Linked DNA regions of Caenorhabditis elegans. The protein of the gene in region 1 purifies or fractionates together with the protein of each later gene. This does not show direct contact. Each region holds a gene or a part of one and is shown on either strand. Other genes may lie near its edges.

Region 1 (7,701 bases):
TCGTAAAAATTCTATAAGTATCTTAGTAACTCCAGTGAAAAAGTTCAATAAGCCGGCAACAGTTACTAGATTTCCGTAAATTGTCTATGAAAGTTTAGACAGGAGAAACCTCTTAAAATTGGGACAAAATAGACTCTAAATCAAATTATTATTGAACATATTTTTACAATAGCACAGATCGTGTTGCAGTGATTAATAATGTTGTTGATATCATCTGAGAAAGTTCAGGTTCTCAGAAAAATGCAATCTCAAAAATGTACTTTCCCTGATTTTTCCTAGTTTTTTTTCTTTTTTTTCACTTCAGTTCACCCCCGCGATTCAAAGTTTACAAACAGCTGCTGCCGTGTACAAAACGTGATTCAGACTTCTCTATGACTCAGATTCCACTTTTTTGAAACGAGAAATTGTTTCGGTCGTATTCAAATTTAAATTTCAATACCCAATATAAGAATATGATGATGATGCATCAATTCACTGTCCTTCCATATCCCTCAGAATTATCCCTCGAAATCTCCGAATAAGACGTAGAAGACGTCAAAACAAAAGGGAAACTTTTTGTCCCTTTTCCATCATCTTCTCAATACTCCTTCCATAAAAGTCCTTTATTTCCGGGGCGCACACTCACACGCTGCTGCTGCAGTTGCCCCAACATAGGCCATACGTACCCAATTTTATAATCCATGGGAGTCGGGCAAACAAACTCAATTCGGTCATCTTCTCCATCTGTCGAGTCTCTGCTCATCCCGAAGGGAACCGTCCTGCTTCCGTCCGTCCCAATGTCTGTGTCTCTTCATCTCCATTGACCAGTGTCCTTGCCTCTTCGTCCTCTATTCCCGCCGCTCGTCCGTTCTTATACCCTTCTCTCCGCTCACTCGTCACCCGCTGACTGACCGACCGGCCAACCCGACTGAATCATCATTTCTTTATGTGTCTTCTTTCTCTCTATATTTAACAGTGTCTTCGTACACCGGTTGATGGTGCGGAATCATCGTTTTCACCATATTCACTTCTCACTCGCAAATACCTCAAAAGTTTGCTTTTTGTGACTTTTTGGCTTCGCAACTTTTTTATTTGAAAATTTTTGAGTGTGAAACATATATTCAACATGGCAAATAAAAACTAAGTTTCTTCATTTTCGGTCGAAATTTTAATTTTCGAATTTGTTTTTTTCTTAAATTTTATTTAAAAAATAGTTATTTCCTAAATTGCCGGCATGTGAAACATAATCCCCTATTAATTGTTTTGTTTTTTCGTTGAGTAAACACCCGAAAGGCCTCACAGGCCCCACCACACTTGTTTCTCGCTATTTTGCGAAAGGATTTTTTATTTTTTTCATTGAAAATTTAATTTTTAATTTTTGAAAAGTTAGAGTAAAGATTTTTATTTTATATGAGTCATTTTCTCAAAGAATAAGTAAATTCTGTGTTTGCCAATAAAGTTTAACGGTGACAGTACCCTCTTGGATCTCTTTGAGACCAACCACCCCTTCTTTATCGTGCGCCTTCAAATCTAACAGTAGTTCTAATCGATACTTTAATGTAAGGTTATGTATTTCTTTTTATATTTTTTGATTTCATCTCAATATAAATATTATTTCTCTTCGTTTTATTTGCATTCTAATCTGAATTTTCAATTTTATTAATTTTCAGAATGCCTGCGAATGGCAATTCTCATGCGTATTTCAACATCGACGAAGTGCGCTCGAAAAATGTTTTGAAACAAATTACTCAATTAATCAATGAAGTGACCAACATCACTGAAACGTTTCCGTTAAAACCTGGACAAACTACTGAAGGACTTGTCGCCACTCTTGATGCTGCCGTTGCTAATTTTCTTCAAACGGGAAGCTTTGCAATTTCGAAATGCCCAATTGCAAACAGTGATCCACGCGCAATTGATTTATTGCACGAAGCTCTTGGAGCAGTTCAAGATACTGGGCAAGTGATGATTCAAACTGGAAGAGATTTTGTCAGAGATTCAACTTCAACAAACAAACGAGCTATTGCAACGAATTCTGGTAGAAATTTGTTGACTGTAAGTTTTTAGGTACTCTTTTAACTGAAAAATGTTGTATTCAGGCTGTCGCTAAATTCCTAATTCTTGCCGACTCGATTGATGTAAAAGTGATAGTTGATAAAGTAGATGAAGTTCGAGAAACTGCACACCAAATGATTGAAGCGGATACAAAAATCAAAGTAGATGATTTGTACAATCTTCTCATTTCTCAAATCGAAGAACTTGATATCACTGTTCGACGACGAGCCATTGATTTGGTTAAACCAAATCAGAGAGATGATCTTCTAGCAGCAAGATCAGCACTTCGACAGACTGCACCACTTCTGTATACTTCAACACGAACATTTGTAAGACATCCAGAACATGAAGAAGCTCGAAGAAATCGTGATTACACTGCAGATGAAATGCATTCTGCTTTAAATGCTCTTGAATCTGTTTTAAACGGACAACAACCGAAAGTAACATTTTCTGAATATGGAAGAATAGGCGATCTTATCAATGAAATCGATACTTTTCAAGTGAGTTTAAAAATTTCAAATAATAAGACAAATAATTTATTTTAAGAATCGAATCGAAATTGATCCAGCCCATTATCGTCGAGGAACTGATCGTCCAGATCTTGAAGGACATTGTGAACGAATTGTTAGTGGTTCTGCTTCAATTGCCGATGCTGAAAGCACTCGTGAAAATCGAAAACAAAAAATTGTTGCTGAATGCAATAATTTGCGGCAAGCTCTTCAAGAACTTTTGACCGAATATGAAAAATCTGTAAGTTTTTTCTATTGATCTCTTGACTTGTTGCCTCGTTTAAAATAAAAAGAAATAAAAAACATTCAAAGAAGCGCATCTTTTTCACAAAAGGGCGATGGAGACGGTGAGAACAAACAAACAAACAATCGTGCGTTCTTTCAAGTGTGACGCCTTGTCCCTCAGGGCGAGAACAACTGTTTTTGTTTGTTAACCGAACTCGAACTAAAGCCGTTTTTTAGAAAAAAAAATGACCACCGCGAGTTCAGACATGGAAAATGTTTTTTTTAGAATTTCGGGGAAATTCTTTAAAAAATTTGTAGTAGTAGAAAATATAGAGACTACAAAGTTTTTACAATAAAATTTAAAGCTTATTACGACCTGTTTAACTATGTTTTAAATCTGTAATTTTTCAGACCGGCCGAAGAGATGATAATGATGATATTCCTCTTGGAATCGCAGAAGTACACAAAAGAACAAAAGATCTCCGGCGACACCTTCGTCGTGCAATTGTAGATCATATAAGTGATGCTTTCCTGGATACCCGTACACCGCTTATTTTACTGATAGAAGCTGCTAAAGAAGGCCATGAAGAGAATACAAGATATCGTTCAAAGATGTTCCAAGAGCATGCAAATGAAATTGTTTCAGTTGCTCGTCTTTCTTGTCAACTTTCATCAGATGTTGAAAGTGTTAGTGTCATTCAGCATACGGCTGCTCAACTTGAAAAACTTGCTCCACAAGTTGCTCAAGCTGCCATCTTACTTTGCCATCAACCTACTTCAAAAACTGCTCAAGAGAACATGGAAACCTATAAAAATGCTTGGTTTGACAAAGTGAGATTGTTAACGACTGCTCTTGACAATATCACTACTTTGGACGACTTTTTGGCTGTCAGTGAAGCACATATTGTTGAAGACTGTGAGCGGGGAATCAAAGGTATCACGGTAAGTATTTTAGTTCTCAAAATTTTAAATTTAATGAAAATTAACAAAAATAGTTTTCGCTAAATTCGTCAACTTTTGAGACGTTCAAACTGAATTTTCCAGGCAAACGCTTCAACACCGGATGAAAATGCGGCCAACTGTGAAACTGTCGACTGTGCTGCCGGATCGATACGTGGACGAGCTCTCCGAGTCTGTGACGTTGTCGATGCTGAAATGGACTTCCTTCAGAACTCTGAATACACTGAAACTGTTAAGCAAGCTGTTCGGATTTTGAAAACTCAACGTGTAGATCAATTCGCTGAGCGTGCGAGCGCTTTAGCCAACCGTCAAGAAGCACACGGACTTACATGGGATCCAAAAACAAAGGAAGAAGAAATGAATGAATTTATCAATGCTTGTACATTAGTTCACGATGCAGTTAAAGACATTCGACATGCACTTTTAATGAACCGAAGTATGAATGATGTTGATTCGGATGTAGAGTATGAAGCTGATGGTGTTGGTGCAGCAAATGCAGATGCTAATCGTACGATATCCGAACAAGAAAATCAACAGAATCTGATGAGACGATTGCCAGAAGAAGAGAAAAAGAAAATTCAAGCACAAATTGATATCTTCAAAGTAACACAAACACGATTCGAAAGAGAAGTTGCCAAGTGGGATGAAACAGGAAATGATATTATATCATTGGCCAATAATATGTGTAAGATTATGATGAGTATGACAGAATTCACAAGAGGTTGTGGGCCATTGAAAACGACAATGGATGTTATCCGAGCAGCACAAGAAATCTCACTTAATGGATCAAAACTAAATGCATTGGCACGGCAGATTGGAGAAGAAAGTGCTGATTCGCAGACGAAAAAGGATTTGCTCGCATATTTGTCACAAATCACTCTATATTGTCAGCAACTGAATATTTGTAGTAAGGTGAGTTTTTTTAATTGGTGCCACGAGCTGTAAAAGCGTACCAAATGTTTTTGGTCAATTGTTTGTTTCGGGGGTTTTTTAAATTTGTCAAATTAGTTTTTCAAGAAAATTGTAAAGATTCACAATTAAAAACGCGTCTATAAAAACTAAAACTGAAAAGAATCTCGTATTTTTCAGAATTATCTGAAAAGTTTTTGAAAAAATTGAGAATTAAAAAAAAAAACTTATAGATAGTGTGATATTTCACCAAAAGAGGTTTCAACTGTTTTTAACGATTTCAGTAGAGATATAATTTTACTTCGCGTTTTTTTTGCGAACCAAGCTCTAGACTGAAGCCATGAAAAATGAAAAAAAAATTGTGATTGGCCTCACTTATACTAGAAAATTGTTCATATACTTACTATAAATAAGTTTTGTTTAAATTGCTTTCAAAAAACCATGTGAAATATAACTTTAAACTTTTAATAGAAAGTAATATTTCAGGTGAAAGCTGATGTGACTCAAGTTGGAAATGAGCTTGTCGTATCTGCACTTGACTCTGCAATGTCTCTTATTCAAACGGCTCGAAATCTTTTAACTGCTGTTGTACAGACTGTTAAAGCTGCATACATTGCCAGTACCAAGGTTGGTTCCCTTTCTTTAAACAAAACATTAATTATTATTCCCACTTGATGTCTGATACTATTGCTTTCCAGCATTTATCACACATTTCTTTTTTCGTACAGACGATAACGGCTGCTTACGTAATTCATTTCAAATCAGATGGTATTTCGCCCACTCTTTTGAGTAGACACGTGGTTTAAAGTGCCAATAGACCAGTTGCCTTTTGTACACTGAATTTTGAGATTTTAGAAAGTGTACCCAAAAGTTTTAGAAAATTAAATAAATAAAATTAAAAAAAAAAAAAAACATTCTCAATAGTGTGCACAACGCGAACGTGCTCGAGTCGAATCAGCCGTTGCGCTTAGCGATGCTCACAAAGCTATTAATTATGAAAGTCCGATGGATGAATCTGGTGAGAAAAAATGAGAAAGCATTAAATATCGTGTTGTGTGGTTTTATCGATGTTGTTTTTGAGAAAAAGAGATATTGAGCATGTCGAATTTAATTTTTTGCTTTTTTCTCAAAATTTACGTTGGCTGCTGCGTAATTTAATGGTAAATATTTTTTATAGTTAAAAAAAGCTTATGTCTTGAGTTCAAATCAGTGGTTAAGACTATTAATGTTTGACGATTTTTTTTTAATGGAGTAGGGATTTTGCTTTAAAAAAATCCAGAATAGTTTGATTCTCAGAAATACCCAAAAAAGAGAAAGAATGAAATGTCGAATTTTCGAAAATCAGATTTTTCAATTTTTGGCGATTCCCTATTTGAATTCTCTCAGTTTGGTGCGAATTCAAACATGGAATTTAGCCAAAAATTAAAAGCAAAATCTCAGATTTTTATAGATTTCCTGAATCCTAGAAAATACAAATTAATTTTCATTATATTCCAAAAAAAAGAAAACAATTCCAGTTAAATATGTTAATTCAAATTGGTAAGGACATCCCTTTCTTATTTTCCCTTCACACTTAAAAATCGTTTTCCCAACAAAAAAACATTTAACTTTCTAAAAATGCATTGTATCGGTCTTGATGTGTGGACATCGATCCCCCAATATGTCGGTCTTGTGATCTTATACTCCCCCGTAAAAAACTCATACATTTTAAACTAGATTGTATTGCAACTTTAACTAAGAAAAGAAGATTAAGTTGAAAAAAAAACTTGAAAGAAATTGATACGAACGTAAAATATGTGTTATTGTTGATGAAAAGTGTCTCGATGTTGTTTGCTGTTGGTTTCATTTTCTTAAATTGCTCGAATGCTTGGAATTCTTTGCTGATAACTTCCTGAAACTCATCCTTATTCTTGCAGTTCCGTCGTCCTAATGCCAACAGTGTACGTGTCGAGTGGCGAATGGCTCCACCAAAGAAACAACCACTAATTCGACCACAAAAGAATAATGCTATAATCAGGTAACGTTTTCATCTATTTTTTTTGAATCAAGGATCCCTCTATAAGTGTTTCCTTTGCCTGCAAAAGGACATATGACACACTTCATTGAGAAGCCATGTGAAAAAAAGTAGTCGGTCCCTGAATAATTCATAAAAAATAGCACTGCCACCAGAAAATGGCACGTAGCTGCCATTGTCAGTAGTCCCAAGTCCCTTTTTTTGTGGTAAAAGTGGTGAAAGCCGAAAGAGCTGCGACACCAAAATGTATATTCTTGACTTGTTGAGCAAAAGTGTATCCCTTGAGGATCATAAATGCAAATTGAGTTTTCGGAAAGCAAAAAAAAAGCGACAATGTTCATAAAAAGTGATGAATAGTTGGATGATTTCGGACATTGAAATGAAAGTTTTAAAGCATCAAAAAACACAATTTTTCTTTTCTTTCAGAAAATTTTCCCCCCCTGAAAAAATTTTTGATAAGATTTCAGACATTTTTTAAACCTATTAAACTAAATTTTACGATTTTGAGATGCACCCCGTAAATCGACACAAGCGCTACAGTAGTCATTACAATAATTACTGTAGTTTTCGCTACGAGATATTTTGCTCGTCAAAAATATGTTGTGCAATACGCATACTCAGAAGTTGGTGTTCCCGTGATAGGTGATCACTAATTCTTGATCATTATCTATTCCATTACAGAAAATTAATTAGAATCCCCCTTTCAAAAGATGTATTCAACGAACGCCGACTAATGTTATAAAGAGTTTGCAGACGGGCATCCGAACGGCGACCTTTGCAACCAGCTAAAGTGCTCGCCGAGTTTACGCGTAACGAGATTGAGACGGGTCGTGATAGTGACGACGAGGAACTTGATCGCCGGCATCAACAAAGAATAAACGGTCGTTTATAGATAATTTATTTCAGTTTTATTCATGTATCTTCATACTTTTCCCTTCCAAATCTTTCCACACATCCTTTATATGCCCGAGTCTTTATTATTTTCTCATTCTTTCAATTCTCTTCAGCTAGAAATTTGTATCTGTGTATTTTTTGTATTCATTTCTGTTT
Region 2 (4,977 bases), on another chromosome or scaffold:
AACTCTCATTTACAACTAAAAGAATTTAGACCTGAATGTCAAAACGCCAGTTTTGCATCTCTATTTCAATAACAATCCTCATCATCATTATGCCCTTTCAACTTCCATTTTCGGACTTACTGTCAAAACTAGTACTGGTTCAGGGTACTTGACCGAAAAATGGCATTGTTTTGACAAGGACGCAAATAGGCAGGCAACGACACCAGTAAAGAAAAAAAACGAAAAAAAAACTTCAGGATTCAACTTTTGCTGCTAACTCCTTGTCTTCTCCGAGAATTTAGTTCAAACAGGGATTAAGCAGAGAAAGTGTAGGGCGAGAATAAGAAGGATGCGAAAAAGTAAGAAGAAGAATAGAAACGAAACAGAAAAGAATGGAAGAAGCCACTATGAGATTGAATTAACGAAATTGAATCGAATCTGTGGGGGCATCACCAAGTCTTCTCTTTCCGAAATGGAATGAAGAGGAGCCAAAAACAATAGTCAAGTTTACTGCTACTTGTCACATGGATATTGGTGGGCTCCGATGACAAGTGAGCATGATATATGCATTTTCTCAAGGCGGACATATGGATGAAAAATGATCTGGGAAGGCAGATCCGTTGAGAAAGAATTTTCAAATTTTAGGGTGCACTTTTTACACATGCAAAGAATGTAATCCACTCCAATTTTGGTGAGAGAGGTGAATGAACCATTGTGTCAGGTAAGAGAGAAAGAGAGAGGGACAACGGAAGGAGAAAGATGCAAAATGAGCGGAATGGGACTGTGTTTTGTCACGAAATAGTGTTATGAAGCAGGAGACGTAGAGGGTACAGTCCTCCATTTGAGGACATACCAAGATTGCGTAAGAGGGTAGACGAGGACTGTGAGGTAGAAAACAGGTAAGTGAGTGTGATGAGAAGGTAATAGGGGATATAAGAGATCGCAGACAAAGACAGATGGAGCTATTGAAGCGGTGGAAATAAGAAATAAGAAATTCTTAAGACAGGTGCCGAAAAAGGCTACCAGGTGGCTGGATTTTACGGAGATTCGCGAGCAAGTAAAACCGTGAAGCAGCGGTTTTCTTTTATGATAATAAGCGTAAAATAGTTGAACATGGAGAAAAGAGGTTACCTTGATATGTACCATTTTCGAGCAAGTCACCACTGTCGAGAAGCTTATTAAAATCATCTACAGACACAAATCGATAGTGTTCTCCATCAACTTCACCTTCTCGTGGAGGTCGAGTTGTGTCTGAAAATGGTCACTTTGAAATTGAAATTTGTTTTAACTTCAATACTTGTCCCTCCATAATAATCTTTTAGATCAATAACAGGAAGAGATGTTCGTTTGGAAAGAAATGCAGGTTTTAGTGAATGTTTTGGTAAAGGCGAACCGAACATTTTAACACTTCCACTGGTGGCCAGCTTCGGACCCTCCCCCACCTTGTGATGATCCCCTAGATCCTAAATCACCTAATTTAATGGGGCGGATGTCTAGGTTTCTCTAGATCACACACTATTTCATCTCAATGATACTCCCTGTGGGCAGCTGCTAGTGCCATTGAAAACAATGAGGTTTTGAGGAATGAAACTTATAAGTATTAAATCCAATCTAGTTAGTTTCAGATCAACTTTTTTTGTAACTCACAAGGAACTGTCTTCTGATATAAATTTTCTCGAATGATAGTCTGAAGTTCACCAGATGATTTTCTATCGGCCAGTAGTTCACAAATATCATCGGTAATTGCTCCAGCTGGTAGAATTTCAATCGCAATTTGATCATGTTCTCTCATCATATCTTCCAATATCCTATTCACTTCAGATCTTACCATTCCTGATACTTTTCTGAAAATTTAAATAATAAAAAAAGAAATGTTCTAGAAAACCTACATGTTCTCAATTGTTAAAAGAATATCGTTAGGATGAACAATTCCAATTAAATCATCACGTCGCACAATATCAATCAGAATGAGTCGTCCAATTGAGGCTCCGCCATGTACTGTAAACGGGGTGATGACGTCTCGAGATGAAGAGTTTCCAGAGTCCGAATGGCAAGAAGATGTCGTGGAAATATGATGATGTTCACTGGCAATACGGATCAGTCGACGAGCAGCAAGTCCGGATGGCACTAGAATATTAAAAATTATTTTCAGTCTTTTTTTGGCTATTTCCTGATTTTTGGTTTTTTTTTCAAAAATGATCTTTCTTGACTTACAATGATTTTTTTTGCTTTAGTTGTTAAATTTTTATTCGGAACCCAAACAAAAAAAAATTTTAAGACAGTCTTGATGAATATTAAAAAATTAGGTATTAACGTGTGCTCCTACTGTGTTTCTTTTGACAGTGAAAGTATTCAACTAGTAAAATTTAGGTTACATTTTTATCTTTAGAAATAATCGAAATATGAAATCTCAGAGTATAGAAATGTAGGTGTAATACTAATAGGGAGCATATTGTATTATATCTATCTATGTTTGAAAAAAAAACTCACTAAAGAATTAAAAACTTTTCAACCACACAATAACTAAAAGCTCTGTTTTATATTTCACTGTAAACTGAACTTTGAAATGCATGGAATATTCAAACTTTAAACTTCTTCGTTAAACTCAATATCTTTCTTGAAGGTCATAAATGATTGAATAACTCACGTTTGTCAGTGGAATCTAGTGAAGTGCTTGGGCTGCTCGTGCAATCGAGCATTTCTTGAAGAGTGGCCTGAAAACTTGGGATAGTGAGGGGAGGAATTCAGAAGGACGACGAACAAGTGGTTGGGAAGAGCCTTCCACTACTTCACTAATCCTTTTTTCTTGCGAATAAACAATGGGAAGTGGTTTTGAAATGAGTTTTATTTTGGGGTGGAGCCGTTAGACATGAAACAAATCAAAACAAACCTGAAGCTTTTCAATTTCCAATGTGAAATCATCCTTTTCTTCATCTCCAATTTTCAGGCAAAGTTCTGAAATTAATAATCTTGATGTTTATGGACTAAACTCTCAATCTCACCAGCTGTTTTGTCGGTCATCTTTTTAGTCGTGGGTTCATTAAGAGAATGTCGAGTTGGAATGTCTTCTCTGCAACGAAAATGAATTACTATCTTCAAAGTTCGGAATGGCCCATGAGAAAGGGGACCGCATAAATTTTGCGAAAACAAATAAATATTTATTACGAAACAACCGTTTGTGTGTCGGCGACCTCAAGAGAACCCGAAGGAGAGCAAGGGACAAGCAAAAGATGAGAAAGAGTGCAGTGTGAATATGAATAAGGCGCTGTCGAAATGACAAATTAATAATGAGTCAGAGATTGGAAATTGGAAGAAGAATAAATAAGAAGAAGTGCGCGCAGATTTTTCAGAAAGTTTAGCACTGTCAGGTGACAACAAGATATTTGCGCAAAATGTATTGAAAAGTATAGCGCAAAACGAGCAAGAAAAACCGAAAAATGAAGTCTTCGACTAAAAAAATTTCGCGCGCCCTATTTTGAACTCAATTTGAACAGAAACAAAACAAATCGTGTAATGTTTTGGAAGTTCGAAGATATTATTGATAAAAGAAAAAAATGAAAAAAGCGAAAAAAAATTGAATTGTTCCATGTAGTGTCTTAAAGAGGTATGTGGAAGACTAGCAGGGATGCAATACTGTTTATCGATCGACTAAACCGAGGGGCAACTCTAACACGCGTGCAGTGTACCCACCACCATTTGGCCTACATGAATTGCGGGAAATGTAGTGTGTTGTATATATTTTAGTGCGGTCACACCTGTTGTTTTCTACGGGTATCACTCAATAAATTTTGTTACTAAAAGAGACATGAAAAATATTTAAACTCTATTTTTTAGTAAAAACTGGTGTTTCTAATAAAAATTCAACTAAATAATATAAGTAAGTTTTCAATACATATTTATAATGAATTAGATAAAATTGAAATATACATGTTAACTTAATAATTTTAGAGTCATGATTACTGTAGCACTTTAAAACTTTCTAGTAATAAATTAGAAAATTTAGACAATATTTTGAAAAGAATAACATTACTTTAGCGAAAATACTTGCCACTTTCGAAAATTTGAAATTCGTCAAAAATCCCACTTTCGTTCGAAAAGCCGTGAGTCATTGCACCTGGGAAACTCGATTCCCTTCTTTCTTAATGTTGGAAAATTTTTGAATTTAAAAATAAAATACAACTATTAGGAGCTATAGTTTCAGGACAGTCGGAAAATTTTCAATTTGGTCCAGAAGGTTCGAGTTGACCGTCGGCAAGCCTAGAGCATTTTCTTGCGAGGCGCAAAAAAGCTGAATGTGATATTTGGAGAACAAACATACACTTTGCCGTTACGGCACGCACTTTTGCTTCTCGCCGATAATATGGTGAACGGTTTTCTCATAAAGCGTTAAATCCTCTGCGGATAGAAAAAGAAAGGGAGACAGGTCAATTTTGTAACATACTAATGGTAAACGCACCGAGACGACAGCGCTGGTCAGGCTCATATAATTCGTCAAGTTCTTCTTCTTCTTCTCCGATTTCTACACAAACTTCCGAAAGTTTTCAACATCTGCCACGCATCTGGCATGTTGTGCTGCAGCAGTCACCACAGAATCACAGTGATGACAGCGACTTTAGAAACAAAAATGAAGGACAAGAAGTAGAAGAAGGGGACGGCTGTTTGCAATTTGTACTCGAGGGAATCAGCTGGAGATTCGTAGTTACGAGAACACAACGAAAAAGACACACATTAATCCTGAGAAATGCAAAAATTTGATTGATGCTGAGAAGAGACAAAGGCGAAACAGGGAAAATCATGCTTCCAAAATATAGTTGAAGTTCTCTACAGAGAACTCCTATAGGAACCTTTATGTAGGTAGATCACATTATTTACTGAATTCTCAATATTCATGAAAACACACAAATGCCTACCTTTGTGCCTACATGATTTGCCGCGCGCTTTTGCAGATACTTTGGTCCAATGTAAAAACGTTGATCCCTTGGATGCTCTTAACTCCCT

Evidence for each region. The genes of interacting proteins can lie anywhere in the genome.
Region 2: the proteins of hmp-1 (region 1) and magi-1 purify together in Caenorhabditis elegans (affinity purification with mass spectrometry, with the first as the bait; one study listed by BioGRID). This does not show direct contact.

What each region holds. Positions count from the first base shown.
Region 1 is NC_003283.11:11,844,228-11,851,928, forward strand, and holds the start of hmp-1 (Vinculin), read left to right. Parts: upstream 1-1,649; 5' UTR 1,650-1,650; coding exon 1,651-2,034; intron 2,035-2,078; coding exon 2,079-2,534; intron 2,535-2,580; coding exon 2,581-2,784; intron 2,785-2,856; exon of another isoform or gene 2,857-3,079; intron 3,080-3,179; coding exon 3,180-3,710; intron 3,711-3,812; coding exon 3,813-4,640; intron 4,641-5,123; coding exon 5,124-5,264; coding exon of another isoform or gene 5,265-5,312; exon of another isoform or gene 5,313-5,561; coding exon of another isoform or gene 5,562-5,669; exon of another isoform or gene 5,670-6,553; coding exon 6,554-6,654; intron 6,655-7,395; coding exon 7,396-7,543; 3' UTR 7,544-7,701. UniProt on the Caenorhabditis elegans protein: Required for cell migration during body enclosure and cell shape changes during body elongation. Required for proper localization of other junctional components, such as pac-1.
Region 2 is NC_003282.8:11,713,113-11,718,089, reverse strand, and holds the start of magi-1 (Guanylate kinase), read right to left. Parts: upstream 3,052-4,977; 5' UTR 3,001-3,051; coding exon 2,982-3,000; intron 2,935-2,981; coding exon 2,870-2,934; intron 2,694-2,869; coding exon 2,627-2,693; intron 2,107-2,626; coding exon 1,869-2,106; intron 1,824-1,868; coding exon 1,627-1,823; intron 1,566-1,626; exon of another isoform or gene 1,389-1,565; intron 1,231-1,388; coding exon 1,111-1,230; intron 872-1,110; exon of another isoform or gene 727-871; intron 1-726.